Linked DNA regions of Caenorhabditis elegans. The protein of the gene in region 3 purifies or fractionates together with the protein of the main gene of each other region. This does not show direct contact. Each region holds a gene or a part of one and is shown on either strand. Other genes may lie near its edges. The genes, in order: lec-2, EEED8.2, wee-1.3 and mecr-1.

Region 1 (8,421 bases), 300 kb from region 3:
TAATTTGAAAAATAACTTACAGCGAATGCGTATGGCTCGTTATGGATCTCCAAATCAAATCCAACAGCCTTCTCAAATGGCATTTTTCCTTCACGCTCCTCATTTCCCCAAGCGGAGTTGATCAACGAGTTGCGAACGACGTGCTGAAATTTTAGAGTATTACACGGATCTTCAAATCATTGATATACCTTCTCATCGAAACGAGCGTTAAGATGAAGAGCAATATCTCCGTTCTTCTTGAGAAGATTGATGTGGAATCTCTTGGCCTTCTTCTCTGGAATTCCAAAGACAGTAAGAGTCTTGCCTGGGGCAAGTCCCTCTCCGGCGAGCCCACTCTCATATGGAACTGGCTGAAATTAGTTTAGTATGAGTTACTGAGTATAATTCATCTATTTTTACTTACATAGTACTTTCCTCCCCAGTGAATGTAGTTGACAAGAACATCTCCGTCGATAGTGAAGTGTGTGATGGAGGAGAGTGGCACACGATGCTCGTACTCCTTCACCTCCTTCTGATCAACAAAGATCTGGAACTTGGAGTCATGGGCGCGGATGCGGATGTCAATGTCGTCTCCCTTCTTGTATGGGTTCGATTTGCGCTCTTCTTTGCCCCATTCTCCCTTGGAGAAGGTGTTGAAGACAAGTTTTCCTTCGTCGAAACGAACGGAAACGTGGAGTGGAACGTCGTTTCCGGAGAAATCGGCGGTGTTGGTGTGAAGGTTGACGGTGAAGCTGAATATTTTATCAGTTCACATATATTTTTTTATTGTGAATAAATAAGATGGTTCTTCATACTTACCGGATGGAATCCTCTCCAGTCTTTCCCTTCACAATAAGTGTCTGTCCTGGCTCAAATGGCTCGACGAGCTTGCTACGGTATGGAACTGGCTGAAATTCGTCCTTGTTACTCAATTTATCACTATCAATTTACGTTTTCAATCCGTCATTTTTTCACGAAATTCTGGGTTTTCACGATCAACATCACCCAAAAATGTTTATCAAGGTGATATTGACCTTGACAGGAAAAATATTTGTCGTCGTCTTCGCAACAACTAACAAACACGAATTTGTATCCCGCCCGTTTTTTTATGACTTGAGATAAAAAAGGAAAAGAAAGCCAATTAAAAATTGAGATAAATTGGGCAAAAGTGTTGACAGATAGAATGAAAAAAGAAGAAGAAAAAGATCAGATCTAAAAAATAAAACTTACGAATGCGGACTCATGGGCCATTTCAGCAAGTTTTCTTGGTTTTTTCGGTGATTCTTCCGGTTGAGTTTCCTGAAATTATAAAAAATTATGGATTAAAGTCAAGTCAGATACAGTAGAAATATTTGGAAGTGAATTGAAAAATTGGAAAAGAAAAGTTTGCAAAACTAAATTAGCTTTTTTCGCCCATTCTCTTCATCGTTTTTCTTCAGTTCAATTGAATCCATTCTTCAAATTTCGAACGAAAATGGAATGGAATTGGCAGAAAAAAGAACACAGGAAATTGAAATGGAAATGGAGAATGGGACCCATCGTTTTCCGCTTTTTAACCGTAGAGAAAATTCCGAAGGAGACGAAAAAGATTGAAAGAAAAATTGTGTATCTTTCGAATTTTTATCACTTGGATAGGAAAAGAGATAGCAGGCAGACATCAAATGTGGGAAAAAAACAAAAAGTGACTCATTTTTGATGTGTCTTTTGTTGTTCGAAATTTTCAATTTTATTATTAAATTTACTGAAACACATGAACTAGACACAGCAATCCTACTACACTATTACACATTTCTACGCAAAACTAGGTTCAATTTCCGAAAAAAGACAATAAACTGTATCTTTTCGATTTGTCAATTGAAACGAGAATTGTTTGAGAGGGAGAGAGATGATGGCAGATACCCATACGCGTGAATGATATCGGCTTTGGGCGTGCCAACATCATTCGGTTCTTTTCACACCGCGAAGAATAGCCTATGTTGTTATTTGAGAGAAAGAGAGTAAAAGCGACAGAAAAACAAAACAATTTCATCTAAAAAACAACAACGATACAATTCTGATCGATCTAGAAATCTGAAAATTTATCGGAAAAAGTAAGATGGCCAACATATAGCCTTAAAATATCAAGTATCAAACCAGGGAGGAACTCTACAGAATAGTTTATTGCAGCCTGTTGTTCCAATTTTTTTTTTTCAAAAATAGTCAACTGGCAAAATATTTTTTATTTCTTTTTCTATCGTTTTGTAATTAGTCTTTTATTGATATCTTTAAAATGAACTGACTTATGGTCTTTTAAAATTTTAAAGTTAAGCTTTTAAGCTTTAAAGTTGGATGCAACATTAAAATCCTAAAAAACTTCAGGTTATGCATTTGAACTCTGCAAAGTCCGAGGCAATTTTTTGAAAAAAGTAAACAGATTTTTGACGTGCCCGCAACCGAAGCCCTCTCGCACACTATATGTATGCAGGTGAAATTTGGACCGGTTTCAAGCCTTCCCACCCTCTTTCACTAAATTCGCCTCTACAATTACCTATAGTTTCGAGTGAAATTGAATCAACCGACAAATTTCGTAAAAGGGCGACAAATTGGTAGTTTGTGTGTGATTCATCTGAAGTGATGATGTTCGATGTATGAAACAATGACCCCTGAACTCTTATGATAGATGATGCAAGAAAGCTGTTCCTCCCACTCATAACTATGTGATGTCAAGGATGTCAAGAGGGCAGCAGGTTGAGTGAAATTTTGAAAAAGTCAGGTGTTTTCAGTGTTTGAAAGCTGCAAACACATACACAACACTTCAAAGCTAAACTAATGACAGATGGAGGAAGCGGGTTTCGAAAAAAGAAAAAATAGAAAAGTAATGAGAGATAAACTTTTTTTAATGGAAGAAGAAAAGTTCGGTAAGTTCAAATAGATTCAATAGTCAAAAATGGGAAAAAACAACTTACTGGAGCTGAAGCAACTGCGGCGACGATTTGCTTCTCGACAACGTCTTCCACAATTTCAGGCTCTGAAGAGTTATGCTCTTCAGAAGAAGGTGCCTCTTGCACTTGTGAATGCTCGACTTTTTCGAATGTCTCCTCGCTTCCAGATTCTGGTGTAGCCGTCTCGGGATGTGCGGCGTCACTGTGAACATGCACGACGTCGAATGATTCCTCGTCGACTGCTGCTTCTGGTGCAGCTTCTACTGTTCCTACGTGTTGTTGAACAACTGGTTCTTCTACTGATTGGGCGTCGGTTGGGACGGATTCAATTGATTCAACGTGATAAGCTACGGCAACTTCTTCTACTGGATTTTCTGATACTGGTGCTGATTCTGATGGGGCGGCATCTCCGGATGGGGCTGGTGCAGATTCTTCGGAGGCTACGTGAACGGATTCAATATTTTCTTCAACTGGTGCGGCAGACTCTGCTTGTGGTTCCTTATGTGATGCCTCAACTACTGTAACGGATTCTTCGTGGGCTGGTTCGGCTGTGGAAGCAGCTTCGTCTTTATGATCTTCAGCTTGTATAGATTCAGATGGAGCTGCTTCTGTTGTTGGTGCTGATTCATTTGAAGCGATATGAACAGCTTCAATAACATCTTCAACGGATGCAGCATGATCTGCTTGTGCTTCCTCGTGAGATGGTTCAGCTGCTGCGGCAGTATCCTTTTGTTCTTCAACTGGAGCTTGAGTCGAGTCAGCTGATGCGGCATCTTCAACTGGAGCTGGTGCTGATTCTGTAGAGGCTACGTGAACAGCTTCAATAACATCTTCAACTGATTCTAGCGCCGTTGGTGATGCTTCATCTTTATGTTCCTCGACTGGAGCAGTTTCTACAGACTCTGCAGCTGGAGCATCAGATTCGGCTTTTGGCTCTTCGTGAGATGAATCGGCTGCTGTGGTAGCGTCCTTGTGTTCTTCAACTGGAGCTTGAGTCGATTCTGATGGTGCGGCTTCTTCAACTGAAGCCGGTGCTGATTCTGCTGGAGCAATGTGAACAGCTTCAATGACCTCTTCAACTGGAACATCCTGAACTGGCTCAGATGGAGCTGCTTCATCCTTGTGTTCTTCAGCTAGAGCAGGAGCTGATTCGGCTGGGGCGGAATGTTCCGCAGGTGTCGATTCTGTAGAGACAATGGGAATGGCTTCAATAACATCTTGCACTGTTGTTGGCTCAGCAGGGGATGCGTCATCTTTGTGTTCATCGGCTGGAGCTTGAGTTTCAACTTGTTCAGACGTGGCTTGTGCGACATCTTCCTTGTGATCTTCGGATGTTGCTGGTGCAGACTTAGCTGATTCTACATGAGGAGCTTCAGTAACTTCCGAAGCTTGATCTTCTGCTGGAGAAGCGTCAACAACTGGAGCATCGGCATGAGTCTCAGCAGCAGAATCAATTTTGGTTTCTTCATGAACTTTGTCAGCTGGAGCAGCAGATTCAGTTGCTTCTACATGGACAGCTGTGATTGGTTCCTCTACAGACTCAGATGATGCAGCAGCCTCTCTGTGGTCCTCAGCTGGAGCATCGGATGAAGCTCCATCAACTGGATCATGAACCTCGTTCTTGTGCTCTTCAACAGTTCCCGGTGCAGCTTCAGTTGTGTTTTCATCGGATGCAACTGGAGCAGATTCGGTCAATGCAATGTGGACGGATTCAATGGCTCCTTCTACTGCTGATTCAGAAGTATGTTCGTCGGAGGCTGGAGCTGGTTCTTTCTGATCTTCAGAAGTAGCTGCAGCGGCTACTTCTTCTTTATGCTCTTCTGGAGCCGATTCATTAGCAGAAACATGAACAGCCTCGATGACTTCATCGACGACTTGAGCGGCGGTCTCCTCGACATGTGAATCATGAGCGGCTTCTGGAGCTGACTCATCTGGAGCAGCTTCTTCCTTGTGTTCATGCTCCTCAACCTTCACTATCTCCTGAGCTGGAGAAGCATCAACAACTGGTGTTTGCTCCTCAGCTGATTTTGTCTCCTCGTGAGCATCCGTAGCAGCTGGTGTTGATGCATTTTCAGCCACGTGCACAACTTCAACATGTTCCTCGATTGGAGCAGCGTCCTGTGCTTCCGATGTGGGTGCTTCTGGTGCTTGATCAACTGGAACAACATGTACAGCTTCGCCAACCTCTTCAGATACAGCTGCAGCTGGAGCAGATTCTTCTTGAATACAAGGTGGGTTGGCCGAGACAGCTTCAATAATTTGAGTGCCATCTGCAAGAACTCCTTGGAAAACGATACGAGCTTCTGGGTCAGCTTGAACAATTGAATCTTCAGTGTGAGCTGGTGCTTCAGTGTGCTCAGAAGAGTGAGATTCCTCCTTATGTTCTTCAACTGGAGCTGCAGAATCAAGAGGAGCTGCTACAGTCTCTTCCTTTTTTTCATCAGCTACTGGAGCTTCTGAAACAGTAATAGGATCAGAATTTGGAATATTCAATAAATCCGACTCACCAGCGACATCAGTAACACCTTCGACAATCTGAGTTCCATCAGCCAAAACACCCTTGACAACAACTTGAGCCTCCTTGACTTCTTCTTTAGCTTCCTGTACAGCAGTCTCTCCATCAACTCCAACATGAACAGAATCAAACTTCTCTTCAACAACAGCTTCTTCCTTCTTCTCATCACCGTTGGAAAATTGCTCAACTACGGTATCCTTCACCTCTTCCAGCTTATCAACAGCATCGGTGAAGACGTCATTGATAGCAGCTGAAGCATTTTGAACGGCTTCTTGAATAGCTGAATCTTTGGCATCCTTAGCATCGGAAGCAGTGTCGGCATCGACAGGCTTATCCTCTGTGTTCTTAGCGAACGGAATAAGATTCTTCGCTGAGCTGAAGGCCGATGAGAAGAATGATGACGAATCGGCCATGATTAGCACAAAAAGTCAACGAAATGAGAAGAGGTTGTAGAAAATAGCAGGGAAATACAAGACACACACCTCTTTGCAGGCTTGGAGTGTGTCGGAATGAGTCTGAAAGTGCACACCAGGCCAATCTCAACGAAGGAGGCACTCTCGTTCTCTACTCGTCTCTCTCGAGCCAGCACTATTTCAACATTGTGATGATGGGAGTGGCCTAGGATGGGCGTGGCGTAGGTTCGGAAGGGTTTGAGAGGTTTTGAGGCGCCGCGCCAAAGAGACGCATACAGGTGTACGAGTATTGACTGATCTGCACGCGCACCGCGCTGCTGCCTGAGGACGCCTCTATCTTCCCCTCTCTTCATTTGTCGTTCCATTCGTTTCTGCCAAATGAACTGGGGGCACAAAAAAAGAAACACGGGGCGCCGCGCACGCGTGTGCCGTCTGCAAAAAAACGGCTGGCAATTCGGGAAATAGTGTGAGACAACAAGATACAGCTAGACGAAACTGATATGGGTAGAGATACAGAGAGATAGAAGAGAAAGGAGGTGAAGCCCGGGGGAAGCCGATGTGCGGCAAACAGAAAGAGTGCAATGCAACCCACCAGATTTGGAGATTTGGTAAGAGAGCCTGCTGATTTTTCAGGTGTCCAAGTGACGCACGTCAGACTCACCATAAGAACTCTAGAATTTGAAGAAGAAAATATTCGTTGCAAAATATTCCGGAACATTTGTTAGTCGTTCGTATGATAGAGAGAAAAGAAGGGGAAACTATGAAATTTCTGATTTGAATGTACACTTGATTTGCATAATGGTGTAACAATGAAATCTGAATTTTCTTCAAAAAGAATGAGAGTTAGTGCACAAAATTAGAGAGAGCTACTCATGAAAAGAAGCTCATCGTGAATTAGGTCTGGATATCTGGATATAGAAGAATTCAATTCAAAATCTAGGTATACAATGTCTCCTCAATTTTTTATGCCGTGGCATCGTTTATCCCCAATTTTTTATCCGCATTTCCTGCTGGCAAGTCTAAATCCCCCTTCATGTAAATCATGTATTTCCGGTGTTTCCTGAAGAACGGGGCTCTCAACGGAAAGGATTATATATGTTACATGATCTTGAACAAGGGAAATGTCTATTGATCTATGTATTGTTTGAATCGAATGCACTCGTATTTTGATGTGTCATTTTCAAATTTTGAATGTTTACACGACGCAATCAGCTGGTGCTGGCTTCCGGGGTGATAAGAGGTTCGTGGTCTTCCCCCTCCTGATGTCAATAAAATTGGATGCCAAATCACATGCTCATGTGGTTTTTTGCCTATTAATTTTTACATTCCGAACTTTTGCAGGAGGGAGTCACACACACGTCGTATGATCCGAAGTTACACAATCGACGGTCCGTACAAACAATTATCAGATGCTCCTATAGGCGCCCACCCATCGGCCGCCACTACTCTAATGTTGACCTTTCGTCAGTCAGGAGCTCTCCCCTCTAACAATTGAACACTAATACAAATAAAATGAAGGTAAATGTAATTAGAACTTGATAAAGTTGCACTGTCAATATTAGAAGGTTTAAAGAAAGTTTTACTTCAGACTTACTTTTGTCTTCCATGACTTTTCTTGGGTTTTGCTTTCATGAAATAGTGAGCGAATACGGTAGGACTTTCGGAAAAATTGATTCATAATGTTGGATCATCAAATCAAATGATACTCATTTGATCAAGAACCCGCGAGACTTAACTTATACTAACTATTTACCCATCTGTCATGTGACTGTGCCAGTATTTATTTATAAATTTCTGTATGCATTCCACAGGACAACCTGAACACTTCCTATCTTCTCTTATCCATTTTCTCTCTGATTTCACTTTTCAATGGGGGTTATGACAGAACTGAACACACCACATGTTTCGTTTTTAGAAAAAAAAAGTTTGCAGCATGAAATGGGTGAAAAAAGGCGGAAACATTCTCATGAAATAGTTTAGTTTACATCGTTGTTTCGACGCCTCGGATTTCAAGATGTGCTTGGTTTGAAGCGGGCCAAAGATGAGAAGAGTGGGTGATGATGATGAACATGTGGTGGTAATGAAATGGGAGAAAAAAAAAGCTTAAAGTGAAAATGAGGAGGACGACATGAGAGAAGAGCCACTTTTTTCTTGAAATTTGAAAGAAAGTTTCACAAAGTAATATGACAGGAGAGTTCGTGAGAAGGATGTGGAGGGGAGTAAAGAGCTAAAAATACAAACTGTTCTTGAATTTCGTACAGATCTGAATACATGAAAAGTCTTTTCTTGAGTTTAAGAGAACACAACATGTTGTGAATCTTGTTCAAGGGATCCATTTTACCGCAATGTTATTCATTTCTCGATTTTAATCGTGATGGATCAAGAGTCTTCAGCTATACCATGCCTCTGTCAGTCTGGTAGGCCTTTTTGCGCCTACCCAGGCCTTAGATACTTCTATCTACCCTGAACACCCGCTCCCAACCAACTTCCCGAAACATCATTCTTACTTCGATTCCTTACTTGGCACCTGCTCTTTTCCATATTTGCCTTTCAATATATTATAACCTTTTTCTCTCCAACACCTGCGCACTAA
Region 2 (4,410 bases), 4.3 Mb from region 3:
ACTGGCTGCAACAGGGTATCTCTGCTAATATCAATTAGGGCTCATGAACTTTTTGAATTGAATAATTGAATAATATTTCTTGAAAATCGGGTATGTCGATTTCAGTCATCTTCGATATGATTTGTTTCAAGAACTTTAAGGAAGTTTGCAGCCTTACCCAGTCTAGCCTAAGCCTAAGCCTAAGATGCTCGAAACAGTACAATCTTCAACGATTTTTTCGGATATTTTTTAGATGTCGTATAAAAAGCTAGGCGTGGAACCTAGAGTCCTATGCCACTACAGTGCACAATAGCAAGACAAATAACAAAACGAAAACCGAAGCACGTAAAGAAAATGTAGATCTTTCTTGTTCTAGGAGAGGTCACACCACCACACGGGGTGGGTGTTCTCACACAATCGATGCGTAGATGGCGGGACCAAGAGAACAGAGAACAGAATAAGAGCATCTGTTCGTTTTCTTTGTTTCTCTTCGTATCACACACTATTTGCTAAAGGTGGTTATTAGTTCCACGGTACCAGCCAGCCAACCCTCGAAAATTTGCGTGTGAGAGAGAGTGAACGAGAAAGATAGAGAAATGGCCAAGAAAGAAAATTGACGGATTAATTAGATTTATTAATATATATTGGAACATGAGAAGCGGTACAGTAATCTATAGAGAGGAGGCAATTAAAAAAAAAAAGTTAATAATAAATATTCTGGCTCTCCGATCCGTAGATGCTTCTTGGGTAAGCACGTGAGTCTCTCTGGTCAGGAATCTGAAAAAAATAAATAATTATTTTGGAACGAGAAACAGATTTAAAAAAAAAAGTAATATTCCAGCTTTCAGTTTGTACCTAACAATAACACAACTCTTGTTAATCTTCCAATTTGAAAAACCTCTAAAATGAAAGCTTTTTATCAATCACTTGTCAATCAGTTGTCACCCCCTCTGATTGGTCTAATGTTTTTAGAGGGAATTCAAATTGAGAGTTGGAAAACGAAGATATTCACAAACCTTCTTGAAGATTCTCTCGCAAATGACTCCATTTCTCTCCCAGATTTCTTTCATTTGTCCATCGACAACCGATCTCTCAACTCGAGAAATCACTTTTTTCTTATCATTTTCTTCTTGTGTTACAGTTAGAATCAACTTATTCTTCTCCACAGAATACAATTCTCCCAGGGAATTCGGAAAATTAAAATAATGGATTTCTTCTCTTGCACGTGGCTTCCAACTTCTTTCATGGTACGATTGAGTTTTCACTTGATGTTTGTTCACTTTAAAGTACAAACATTGATTCTTAATTATCAAAGCATGGAATTGAGATATATCTTGAGCTGCAAAGAATTCATCGAAATTGCTGATCTTGATTACTTTCCAAGTTCCACTGATTGTTCGTTGAATTGGATTCTCGTGGAGACTGAAGAATGACTCTTCTTCCTGAAAAACAAATGATAATAAAAATGTCTAGTGAAATAAGTTTTCCACAATTTTGAAAAGTTTTTAAAAAAGGCTTTTTTAAAAACGAGTTATTTCGATGTGATGTTACAATAATTTTAACTGAATTTTTATGCCAAAAAATGGATTTTTACAGTTTTGAAAATCATACAAAACTAAAAGGGATAATCGCCAAACACAATTGCTTTCACTTTTCAGAAGTTTTTGAGCTTATTTTTGAACATTTCCATTAAAAGGGGATAATTTTTAAAACAATCAGAAGTTATTCCATGCTTCTGAACTTTTACAGAATTTTTGTACAGAATTTTTTTCAGAATAGTTGGGTGAATAGTTGGTAGACGAGGGCTTTTAGAGAGGTTTTAATATTTTACTGAAAATCTGAAAGACGTATAAGATTCAAAATTGTTAGGTACTCACAAGTTTCGCAAAGATCCTTTCAATATCATATCTGCACTCTCTTTCAGAGCGATTCAAGCTTGAGCAGTCGGCTCGAATAGCTACGAGCTCTGTTGCCAGTTTCTCACTGCGTTTATCATCCTCAATAGCTCGAATTTCTTCTAGTTCCTGAAATTTTAATAATCAATAAGAATTTTTCAAGTTTTATCTAAATTTACCCCAAGTTCCGCCTGATTCTTCATCACTTTTTCCAAAGATTTCTTCATTTCGTCATTATCTTTCTTGAGTTGTTCCATCAAAGAGTATAAGTCTTTATTTTCCAAACGAAGAGATTTCAATTCATCTTGCAGATCCGATACAGTAGATACTTCTTCCAATTCCGGAGATTTTGGAGCATCACCCCTAGTCGGTTGAGTTTGAAACTTTGGAACAAGCTCGAATTCGGTATCGCTATTAGAATCCAATGACATGTTGACCCAGTAAGACTATTACCTGAAATTGTGTAAGTTAAAGAAAATCATTAGAAACATGTTTTAGGGAAGTTTTTAAGGGGAATTATGCAAATTTATTGAACAAAAAGAATTACAGAAATTAAGAAGAAGGAATGAGAAGAGACAGAGACAAGTCCACAATCTGGCATTCAATAGAAACATATAAGGCTCCTTCTCGAGGTCAACCAGTATGTCAGTATGTTTACTCGACACAAAGAATCTCGCTGTCTGCTATCTCCACAGAATCCATAATATTTCTCACTTTAAAGGGTCAATTAAGCGCCTTAGGGTTCACTCTCATCAATAGAATATGTGTAATCTGCGCGCATATCACATGTCAACCAAAAATTGAGTTGATATGATTTATAGGATTGATTTGTCATTTGTGGGTTATTTGGTTTATTGATGTACGTCTGCAGAGAGTTTTTGCACAAGCTTTTGAATACAGTAAAAATTTTTTTAACTTTTAAAAACTAGGAATGATGATAACTACTGGGATGAAAAACCAAACATGATATGCATATGTATGACACCACATATATAAATTAAAAAATAAATAAAAAGAGGAGAAAGACAATCAAATTAATGAATAGATAAAAATGACAGTCGGAGAAAACAATACAATTATTATGGCTGATAAAGATTGATAAACACTGACGACATGCGGAAATATTATGAATAAAACATGTTACATCAATTAAAAAATGATTTTTCATCACACAAAGTCGGGGTTAAAAAATCTATGTTTGGAGATTACATTCTTGTAAAATGACAATTATTTTTCCAACTTTGGTAGATTACATAGAATGACGCAAAAATTCCTGCCTGATATTCTGCCGGCCTTTGCCTTCTAGGGGCCTTCTGTGTGCCTGCAGACGTGCCTCCATTTTTATTTGTTACTTTTACAAAGAAAATAAATTGAAGTTTTTTTGGTTCAGTCATTGTCCAAAAGGTATGAACAGCAGGCAATTAACTACGCACGTTGGTAGGCAAGCAGTCTTGAAGTAGGTAAGTAGGCAGGCAGGCTTGAAGTAGGCGTGTAGGCATGTAGGCAAGTAAACATATACTGATTTTATATTTTGCTTTTATATACTCTCTGATTGATTCCAGAGAAAAAGGTTTTCAGTTGGACAACTTTTTTTGTATTTTAAAATCCAATTCCCGGACTGATCTGGGTGAAAAATTGTGGAATATTTCGGGTTACGGTAGCTTCCGATCGTGTCGAGACGGAAACGAAATTTTGTACCAAAAAATGCCAAATTCCGCGAACCAAGCAAGTAAAACATGCCTATAAAATTCTCCGCATCTGCAAATAAGTTTCAAATTTTAAATCGTCAATCGAGAAAGAAGAAATCAAAGGTTTATTGTCACGGTCAACTTGGTTGAAAATACGAATTAAAAATAACGGCGTTAAATGGAATAAAAATAGTAATATCATAAGTTGTTCAGTTAACACGCTTGTATACTCTCTTGCACCGAAAGTTCCCTCTGCTGTTGAAAACCACAAGATTTCCATTTTTGATGAGTCTCTCCACTTTCCAAACAATCGATCCGTCAGCAATCCTCTTGCAAATGGTGCTCATCATGTTTCCTTCTGCATGCGTTGAAACCGCATTGTCGTCCCTGGCAATTGGCTTATCAAACTCGAAAATTGTAGGAATCAGAGATTTTCCGAGCAAATCGGTGTGAACATGAAGTTGATTGCCGTTCATCTTGTAACAAGTAATTCCGTGCTCCCAGGCCATTTGGGTTATCTCCGGGAACTTTTCGAGAGTGAAATATTCTTGGAGATTTTCAGAGGATGCAAGTTTCCATTTCCCGATCATGGCAGTGAGGATTTGAATTGGAGCCTGAAAATTGAAAATTTTACATCAGCAAAATGAAAAAGTGAATCTATTCCCCAGCAATTAAAACTTGATCTCACCTCTTTCTTCTTCTTCTCATTCGAATTGATATTTACTTCTTTAACAGTATTTCCTTTCGTTGAAACATATTGAAAATTCTCCGAGTTGTCAGTATTTTCAATTTTCTCGAACTTCTCTTCTTCGACCATTTCGAAGCTCGAATCGTAATCGATATCATCA
Region 3 (5,670 bases):
TATATTGCCTAACTTTCCCCGTTATACTAGTCGGATTATACCCCCGATCAGTTCAGGTTCAACAATTTTCTGGCGGTTAATTTGAATAATTTGGGATTAACATTGGTTTGGCAAGTGTTACTAGTCAAAAAATTTCAAAAATAGATTAAGAACTAGATTTTGAAAATGAGGTACAAACATCACAATTCTGTGGGAAAATTAGCAAAAATGAGGGAAATATCAAAATTGATGTTCTTTATATCAAAAATATAATGAGAAAGGTCAAAAATGAAGCGCGTCACAGTTCGAGAACAGGAATCAAGGTGGACGACTATGCATCAATTTGCATATTCATATCAAGACAGATCAGACGCCCAGAAGGCCAAACTGTGAGATTTTGAACTTGAAACAAATTGCAAAAAAAAAATTAAACAAATGCACAAAAAACGTTGCCCCGAACCAGGATCGAACTGGTGACCTCACGATCTTCAGTCGTGCGCTCTCCCAACTGAGCTATCGAGGCGGTGGTGTCTTTTTTTCAAAATGCATATAGAAGCACTTGTAATTTCTTTTTAAATTCTGAGGGTACGAGATTTTTTAATGACGGTTTTTATAGTCAAATTATTGCTGTTCTGTTGTAAGTAAAAGTTAAAACAATATATAAACTTTTGATAAAGGAAGTAGGTTTTACGATGTTTTCTATAGTTTTTTTTTTTGTTTTTTTGTGTAGTTTAAGAAGTAATTAATATTCCTATCGAAATAAATCAAAATGGCTATCAAAAGCTGTGGGAAATTTTTTTGTACTGTCCTACCTCCAGTACTACAAGAACAGGTTTTCTCTCAAGACCCTCTCGAGTTTATATTACACCAGACATATGTGTAATCGGTTGGTACCTACTTTATTCAATTCGAATAAATTTGGATTCTGTATGAAATGGAGAAATTAAAAAAATATACGTAGTTCAGATAAAATACGTTTTATCTTCAATTTCAGAAAAGAAGGACATAATGACAAGTTGTGTGTCTGTGTGATAATGGTAGTGCGATATGGTCGAGAGGGGGAAAGATTTTACAAAAAGACGTACAAAAATACCAGAAAATAAGCACCCAGAAGAAATAGTAAATAAAATTCGAGTAATGACACATTTGTGAAGAGATGGTCGTCAAGGGGGAAAAGAAATCAATCAATAACTAGTGAGAAGGACTACTGTAAACAGGCATAAAACCTAGGGGAAGTGATGATGGGATGAGAAAAAGTAAGAAAAGTACGAGATGCTAATAAATGCAAAAAATAAATATTCAACAATTTTTCTGATTTTTGTGCATTATTAAACCTCGTCGCCTGATGATCCAAATGACATCTGGAAAAAAAACATTTAATAAAAATCATTTAGCGTAAAACTACTAACCATTCTATTACGAGGCACAGGCTTAGCCCCTCTATTTAATCTTCTACGTGGCGATTCCGATTGCTCCAAAATCGTATGATGATCAACAGTCGGTTTATTCGATGGCTCGTCGAGAACGTTAAAGTTGAGAACAGGCATTCTCGGTAGATCACGAATGCTTCTTCGGATTCTTGGCGGACAAGACATTGGTGGTGGAGCCTCGTCGATCACATTATTCTGATCTGCCCAATCTAACTGTTGCTCGGTGAGTCGCATTCGGAGATATTTTTCCGTTCGTTCTTGATCACTAATTGGAATTAGAGAGTTATTACTAAATCCATCTCCAGATCCAGTGTGATGATTATAATGATTTAGCGACGATTTCGGTGCAACTGACGCGGCTACTTGACGATGACGGTTGAAAGTGAGATTACGACGAGCTGATCTTGGAGTTCCTCTGAAAAATAGCAGTTGGTAATAGAGAATCCAGAAACTTTTTGAATATTTAACAACAAAACCAACCGTTTTCCAAGTTTATCAATAACATCGTTCATTCTCGGCGGACTCTCCGGTTCATCCAATTGGGGCTCAATAGCTGAAGAGTTTGATGATGAGCAAGTCGCCTGTTCCTCATCGTCATCTTGATCGTTATCAAAGTTCAAGCGACACGGCACTGCACCAGTGAACAAACGGCGTTGCGCGTTTGGTGGATTCTCATCATCGGAAAAATCGAAAGGAGACACAATTTGAGATGCTTGGCGAACAGCCACTCCAGTAAGAGATTCCAAATAAACTTTAGAAGTCTCTGGAGTTTGGATGGGAGTGTGCTGCTGATTCTGAAAAATTCGAGTTGATAAAATTTTGGGTAAAAAAACTTATTACATTGACAAATTGCGCACAAATTTCCGATTGCCGGTCTTTAATTGCAGCATGGAAGCGAACAATAGGATGAAAGAGCACCGAGAAGAAAGCCATTACCCAGACAAGAACAGCACTGAAGGCGTAGAAAAAGCCGTTAAGCTGAAACCAGTGATTGTCAAAATCCCTCATTCACAAAACTATAACTTACAATTGAAATGCATTTTACATAGGTTCCACGCTTCATGAGCTTCTTCTTGATTACCGGATGATCAAGCAAATCTCGACTTGTTGGACGAATCCTCGGATCAGAGTCAAGCATCAAGGCAATTAAACTGCGAAGATCTGTAGAAATTCCAGCGAAGAATCTATCAGGAATCTGTCCATTTCTGATTTGATGCCACGAATCTCCATTTGATGGAACGTCAAGATCAGTAGTAGCCTCAAGAATTGTCATTCCTAGACTGAAAATGTCTGATGATTTCGTGGGACGGCCGTTCAAAACTTCTGGAGCAAGATATTTCGAGTCACCTTCTTCCGCTGATTTCACATCATTTGGCTGAAAATCGATTGAATAAAATCAGAATATTAAAAAGTATGAACTTACATTTTTAAGGTTAATAACCAAACCAAAATCTCCGAGTTTGCATATCATGTCCTTTGTAAGAAAAATGTTTTCCGGTTTAATATCATCATGAATCATGTCGTTCGAGTGCAAATGATGAACAGCTTGGAGCAAATCTACGAAAATATTCCAAATTTCGTCCTCCGGTAGTGCATGTTTCTCTGTACAATATTTCAAAAGACTTTGATCGCAAAGTTCTGTTTGAATATACAATCGACCAGTTTCCTCCCAGGCTCTGTAGAACTTGACAAGATTCTTATGCGGTGGAATGATCATATGGCTCTCAGCTTCTCGGTACTTGGAAATTGAATGTTGCCGGATCGGAGCTAACGATACTTTGACAGCATACAATTGGGAATCCTCACGGCATCTGGCTGCGAATACTTCTCCGAACGAGCCTCTTCCAATGATTTCATCGATTTGAAATACTTGTTCAAAGAATGATTGAGCATTTGTATGATCGTACTTTGGCGATTCCAGTGGTTTTGGTCCTGAAAAAATGCTTGAGATGTGTTGGGTTTATCAAAAATAATTAATGTTTAAAATAATCAACTCGACATACCCTGCGGAGTGACCAAAAGTGGGACCGACTCCTTCCGAACAGACCAAATGCTTCTTGTTGGTGGCATAGTTTTTATCATTTTCGGAGCTGGACGACGGAAACGTGGAGTAATTGCTTGGCGCTCACGTTTTGTGGAAAGTGGTGTCTCACGCATCATCATCGGGATTTGTGGTAAGCGTGGAGTGACCTGTGGAAGTGGACTTGATTGACCATTTCGAATGGAATCCATCGAGGAGTTACCCTCTGTGTCGTCCATTTTCACTGAAAATGAATAAATTAATCATACGCAGCGGAAAAAAGAAGGAAGGAAGGTCAAAGAAAATAAATAACATGTTTTATCAAAATTAATATCGACAGAAATTTTTTAAAATAGATTTTTGCGGTGCAGAGAAGATGCTAAATAGAGAGAAATCGATAATAACGTGTTTGGAACGTTTTCAACTAAAAAACCTTTTGATTTCTGAGAGTATATTGGAATTAACATTGAAATTACTATAATAAGATAATATTAGTATGAAGGAATGAATAATCAATTAGGCGGAGGCGACAAAACAGCGAGAAAACAAACAATTCTGCCAACGGCGATTGCAATTCAAAACAAGCGCGCGAAAGAGGAGAAGACACATTGTGCAAACACCGTGGCGCTCAAATGCAGACTAGACAGGGGAAAACAGCGGGATATTCAAAAAATAATTTTAAATATGGTGTTCAACCGGAATGACCAATTTTGCCGAAGAAAGGGTTCAATATTAAACTGTAGTGGGTCTTCTATGAGCGATATGAGACAATTTATCTGCTAGATATGTTTTGTAGTTTGTAGTCTAGCAGACCCAAAGAAAAATAGTGTTTTTTTAAAATTTCAATAATAATAATGTGAATTACATCACGTTAAACAAAATTTCAGTAGCTTGGATCTGTCGGACTATTTACATACTACAAACCGGTTTAGCAGATGAAAACTTTTAAGACTCTCCGATACGGCCTGTCAATTCAAGAGCAATCATCTACCTAAACACCGCAGAAAGTCAGATATACAGCATTGAAAGTAGAACAAAGGGAAATAAAACAGGAAAATTTTATAAAACAGGAAAATTTAAGAGTTAAAATTTATTTTACCAATAGAATTTTCATATTTAATAAAAAAGTGGGTGCAATAAGCAATCAAACCAGCGAATAGATTTTAAAAATTACACATATTTGCAATGGTTGGGGTTTAAAGAAATATTATAATACATGGTTTTAAATTAAAATGGGATATTTGACAAATGAATTTAAAAATTATTTTCTTGAATTTCTGATGTTGAACTAGAAATTGGTGGGCTCTCGCTTGACTGAAATTGGATTATTGCGGATTGTGCTGAATCGTTTTCTCATGGTACAAAAAAATCTGACCTCTTTGAACAACTTTTTGATCGATGAATCGTTCAGTGCGCGGATCAAAGCAGCATGGTCATTGAGGGCATCATTGAGCGTTGGTGTTGGATACGGGATGACTCCTCTGTCGTTCATTCTGAAAAATAGCAATGATTTTATAATTTAGATGAGAAAAATCAATTACTGTGAAGCCATTGCCACTGCTTTGGCCAAATCAAGAGGATCCAGCTTGTACCAGAAGAACTCTTGTTTGCGCTCCTTTATTTTCTTGCAATCGAAAACATCAATCCAGTTCTCGTCGTTGATTTTTTTCCAAAATTTTTGCGGAATCCTTTGGGGAAACGGTGAACGCGACGGCCGATCGACTTTCATTTGCGACGCTTTGAGCGATTGGATCCGAGAAGATAAACTCTTTTATCCTAAAATAAATGTTGTAATTATTTCATTTTTAAACCAAATATTCACCCCAAGAAACGAAGAATTCTCGTCGCTCGCTGCACCACATGTTTGTCCCTGATGTTCAGCATCATGAAGTGACTCGCCATCTGAAATTTAAGTTTGTAATTCCAATTTGGACACTTAAAGAATTGCCAAGTCTGGCCGCTTTGCCGGATTCGCATTATCGGCATTTTCGTGAGTGATTTGGCGTTTCCTTCCTCGATTCACAGCTGGGAAAGTTTGCGCTGATTGCAGATTTTCAGATTGTTGAATATTCCGAGGGAAGGACGCAAGTTCTTGGCGATCCAATTTTGTATCGAGTAGATTCTCAGATCGTGGAATATTTGGATTGGATTTCGACGCCTCACGTTCCGATTTCACATTAACATTCGCATTCTCCGAACTGATTGTACCAGGAGCCGAGATAGGCCTAATGAGCGAATCAT
Region 4 (3,961 bases), 3.5 Mb from region 3:
TTTGGGGTGTTTTCACGGGAACGGGAATTCCCCTTGTCCCGTTTTTAAAATTTTCACGGGAACGGGAATTCCCCTTGTCCCGTTTTTAAAACTTTCACGGGAACGGGACATTTTCCCTCATTTTTTGGCTTTTTAAATATCTGTTTAACATTGAAAAAATCGATAAAAATGTTTATAATGCAGTTTTTTTTATAATTTGCCTCGAATACACTAAAATTTACGCCAACTATGCACTCTTTTTTTTAAACCGCCCAGTTTGTCCCGTTTTTTGAGTGTTTTCAAAAAAACGGGAATTCCCGTTGTCCCGTTTTTGAAATTTTCACGGGAACGGGAATTCCCGTTTTCCCGTTTTTGTAATTTTTACGGGACATTGACACCCTTGATTCTGACCCAGGGAAATTTCTTTAAAACATGCCTATGGGGTCACAATGACCGAATATTATGATTAAAAAATTCAAAAAATGTTTCTAGATTTTATATGATTTTTTGAAAATTGGAAAAATCTCGGTTTTTGCCAAATTTGTTCGATGGAGCGCGCTTGCACGTTTTTAAATTTATCTATTTTATTTTGTCTTATTTTCCACCGATTTTCCATGTTTTCAGTAGATTTTTGCTTGAATTTCAAAGAAAAAGTCAAAATAAATGCAAATTTTCGATTAAAAACCAAGAAATGCACGATTGGAACCTGAATTAATCAATTTCACAGATTTATGCTTGTAAATTAGCTTTTTAATCAAAAATTTGCATTTATCTTGACTTTTTCATCAAATTTCAAATAAAAATACACTGAAAACATGGAGAATCAGTGAAAAATAAGAAAAATAACAATAAATAAAATAATGCAAGCGCGCTCCATCGAACAAATCCAATTGGCGGTAATTCAAATAGGAATTAGGGGAAAAACTGAGATTTTTCCAATTTTCAAAAAATCATATAAAATCTAGAAAATTTTTTTTGAATTTTTTATCATGATATTCGGTTATTGTGACCCAATCGGCATGTTTTAAAGCAAAAATTTAGTGGGTTTTCGATATTTTATTTCGAAAAATCCCGCTAAATTTGAATTTTTCGGGCAAGAAAAGTGAAATTTTCGCATGAAAAATAGCGGAAAATCGACTCAAAATTGAAACTATAGGAAAAAATTGCCGAAAATGTGCAAAAAGCACAAAACTATGTAAAATGTACGATTTTTCCAGTCTAAAACTGCAAAAAATGAGCGAAAAAATCGCGAGAAATCTGATTTTAAAGTAATTTTGAGCAATTTTCTGTCCTTAACATCTCGAAATTATCACATTTTGCCGATTTTTGTTCGGGAAAGACTGAAAATGATCCGTTTTCAACAGGGAAAATGAAAAAAGTCCCGTGAAGGTCGTCTTCGCTTTCGTTTCAACCTTGCAACTGTTTAACAATATCGACAAAAGGAAAGATTTGTCTTTTTAGGTTTTTACTTGGCATCTTTCACAAAAATAATGGGAGGAAATTGATTAGAAAAAGCGCCGTGGGACAAAAATCGGGCAATTATCGAAAAAAAACACGACGAAAACCTAACAAATGAGTAAAAAATCGATGAAAAACAGTTTTTTTTCAGTCAAGGAAGTTGAAAAAAACTTGAAAAGCGGATGAAAATTGGAAAAATTTGGGAAAAATTGCGAAAAAATCGCGAAAATCGTTGTTTTGAAAAAAAAAAAAGAGTGTGTGGTAAACAAGAGACGCAGAAAAAAATAGACAACGATACTCCAAAATAACGCCTACGCGTGTTGTTTATCGTAAATCTACAACCGTTTATTTCTATATTTTCTATTAAAAAATAAGAAAATCTGTGTAAACTGTGCGAATTCCGGATGTTAAAAGTTCTCAGTCTACGATCTGCGCTCCAGAGAGCTGCCTCGACAAGACAACTAGTCTATGAAGGATATAGAAACCCTCCCGAGGTGAGAGAAAACGCGAATTTGCTTTTAATTTTATTTGCATTTAATTTCAGGCAATACAATTGAAAACTGTCACAATTGCGGACAAGCCGTCTGCGGATCAGGTCCTGGTTCAATGGATAGCAGCTCCAATCAACCCGGCAGACTTGAATCAGATTCAAGGTAGGTTTTTATAGCTCCAAAATCTGAAAAAATAATTATTTGAAGTATATTTCAGGTGTGTACCCTGTGAAGCCAGCTTTACCGGCGGTTGGTGGAAATGAAGGATTTGGGAAAGTGATTAGTGTTGGATCCAATGTGAGCTCGATTAAAGTTGGAGACCATGTAATTCCCGACAGATCTGGCCTAGGAACATGGAGAGAGCTCGGGCTCCACCAGGAAAATGATCTTTTTCCGATTGATAATACTCTTTCCATGGAGTATGCTGCAACATTCCAGGTATGATCTATAAAGCTAGGGAGCAGTGGAATAATCAGAATTTGTTTTTTTTACAGGTGAATCCTCCCACAGCTTATCGTATGCTTAAAGACTTTATCGACCTGAAAAAAGGAGACACAGTGGCTCAAAACGGAGCCAATTCGGCTGTCGGGAAGCACGTTATTCAAATTTGCCGGATCCTTGGCATCAAAACTGTGAATGTTGTGAGAAGTCGCGATAATCTGGAAGAATTGGTGAAAGAGCTGAAAGATTTGGGCGCCGACGAAGTTATCACACAGGAAGAGTTGTATAGTCGAAAGAAGAAATTCCCAGGAGTCAAGTTAGCATTAAACTGCGTTGGAGGCAGAAGCTCCCTGTTTTTGGCGAGTCTCCTGGACCACGGAGGATGTATGGTGACCTACGGTGGAATGAGCAAGCAGCCTGTCGATTGTCCAACCGGGCCACTGATCTTCAAGGATATCTCGCTTCGCGGATTCTGGATGTCAAGATGGTACGATATTCAGAAATCCCCGGAAAAGCGGCATGAGATGTACCAGGAGCTTGCCGGTTGGATGAAGAGTGGAGAGATCAAGAAGCAGGAGATTGTGAAGAATCGATTGGAAGATCATGCAAAAGCTCTCGATACTGCGCTGAGCAAATTCGACAAGAAGCAATTCTTCGTTTTGGAATAACTCGCTCCGTAATCGGGTATCATTGCTACAATTTAATGTGATGTGAAGATTGATCATGCTTTTTTTCCAAATAAAAACAGTTTTTTGCCCGAATAGGTCCTCAATGGCGTGTTTCTGAAAATTGTGATGGCCGAGATGCAATTGCGCCATTTTTCAGATTATACTCAATTACAAAATTTATGAAATAAGAACGTGAACTGACAATAAACTGAACTGATGGATGAAAGTAAGGGATTTAATTTAAATTCGGGATGTGAAAATCTTTCAGAAAAAAGGGGAATAGTAGGAGAGGTAATTTGAAAGAAAAGTCAAAGTCATTATCAGCAGCACGGGGGGGTTCCAAGAATTAGATAGACGCTTTGCTGACCACCAATTTGATCATCTGAAAAAATATCGAACATTTTGAAATGAAAAATGAGGACTCAAATTCTTTTCAAGTTTCACTAGGGTTGTTAAAGGGGACGAAGGGGAACGTCCTCCTCAATTTTGAGAGCTTTTTCCGCCGTCCCTTTTGTAGTAAACTGGAGCCCCAACATGAAATTGGATTAATCTGATGAATGTTGCTTCGATTTGATAGTGGTGCTTCAGCTTTCTACAAAAGGGACGCCGGAAAAAGCTCAAAAATCGAGGGGGACGTCCCCCTTCGTCCCCCATGACAGCCCTAAGCTTCACTCTATTTTTCTGAAACATTTTGTAAAAAAAACAAGTCTTACAGGCATATAAGATGGCACCTGAGCTCTGATAGAGTCGATGATGCGATCCTTGATCTTTTTCTCGTCCTCGATAAGATCTGTTGTCATCGAGAAGGTATCGAGGAAGACTCCGTGATTATCGTAGTGAGCAGTATACGATTTGACTTTTGCCAGTTCCATCGCACGTGGCATGATCTCCTGTAAAAAAAATAAACTAGAATATCCTTACAGA

The links.
Region 1: the proteins of wee-1.3 (region 3) and lec-2 fractionate together in Caenorhabditis elegans (co-fractionation; one large-scale study listed by BioGRID). This does not show direct contact.
Region 2: the proteins of wee-1.3 (region 3) and EEED8.2 fractionate together in Caenorhabditis elegans (co-fractionation; one large-scale study listed by BioGRID). This does not show direct contact.
Region 4: the proteins of wee-1.3 (region 3) and mecr-1 fractionate together in Caenorhabditis elegans (co-fractionation; one large-scale study listed by BioGRID). This does not show direct contact.

Annotation. Positions count from the first base shown.
Region 1 is NC_003280.10:10,010,056-10,018,476, forward strand, and holds the start of lec-2 (32 kDa GBP), read right to left. Parts: upstream 6,129-8,421; 5' UTR 5,829-6,128; coding exon 5,408-5,828; intron 5,357-5,407; coding exon 2,925-5,356; intron 1,279-2,924; coding exon 1,210-1,278; intron 888-1,209; coding exon 799-887; intron 732-798; coding exon 404-731; intron 351-403; coding exon 189-350; intron 144-188; coding exon 21-143; intron 1-20.
Region 2 is NC_003280.10:5,414,631-5,419,040, reverse strand, and holds EEED8.2 (lipocalin/fatty-acid binding family protein), read right to left. Parts: upstream 2,328-4,410; 5' UTR 2,306-2,327; coding exon 2,054-2,305; intron 2,004-2,053; coding exon 1,857-2,003; intron 1,422-1,856; coding exon 996-1,421; intron 757-995; coding exon 682-756; 3' UTR 596-681; downstream 1-595. Other genes in the region: EEED8.3 (lipocalin/fatty-acid binding family protein), read right to left, coding at 3,772-4,176, 4,251-4,410.
Region 3 is NC_003280.10:9,712,795-9,718,464, forward strand, and holds wee-1.3 (Membrane-associated tyrosine- and threonine-specific cdc2-inhibitory kinase wee-1.3), read right to left. Parts: upstream 3,674-5,670; 5' UTR 3,669-3,673; coding exon 3,413-3,668; intron 3,342-3,412; coding exon 2,833-3,341; intron 2,785-2,832; coding exon 2,437-2,784; intron 2,388-2,436; coding exon 2,250-2,387; intron 2,204-2,249; coding exon 1,890-2,203; intron 1,825-1,889; coding exon 1,389-1,824; intron 1,341-1,388; coding exon 1,308-1,340; 3' UTR 943-1,307; downstream 1-942. Other genes in the region: Y53C12A.6 (uncharacterized protein), read right to left, coding at 4,684-4,743, 4,805-4,922, 4,971-4,981; Y53C12A.11 (PRE_C2HC domain-containing protein), read right to left, coding at 5,070-5,205, 5,252-5,331, 5,378-5,670. UniProt on the Caenorhabditis elegans protein: Acts as a negative regulator of entry into mitosis (G2 to M transition) by phosphorylation of the CDK1 kinase during oocyte maturation.
Region 4 is NC_003280.10:13,185,154-13,189,114, reverse strand, and holds mecr-1 (Enoyl-[acyl-carrier-protein] reductase, mitochondrial), read left to right. Parts: upstream 1-1,800; 5' UTR 1,801-1,841; coding exon 1,842-1,931; intron 1,932-1,981; coding exon 1,982-2,090; intron 2,091-2,145; coding exon 2,146-2,366; intron 2,367-2,422; coding exon 2,423-3,037; 3' UTR 3,038-3,128; downstream 3,129-3,961. Other genes in the region: W09H1.4 (DUF1902 domain-containing protein), read right to left, coding at 3,384-3,419, 3,751-3,927.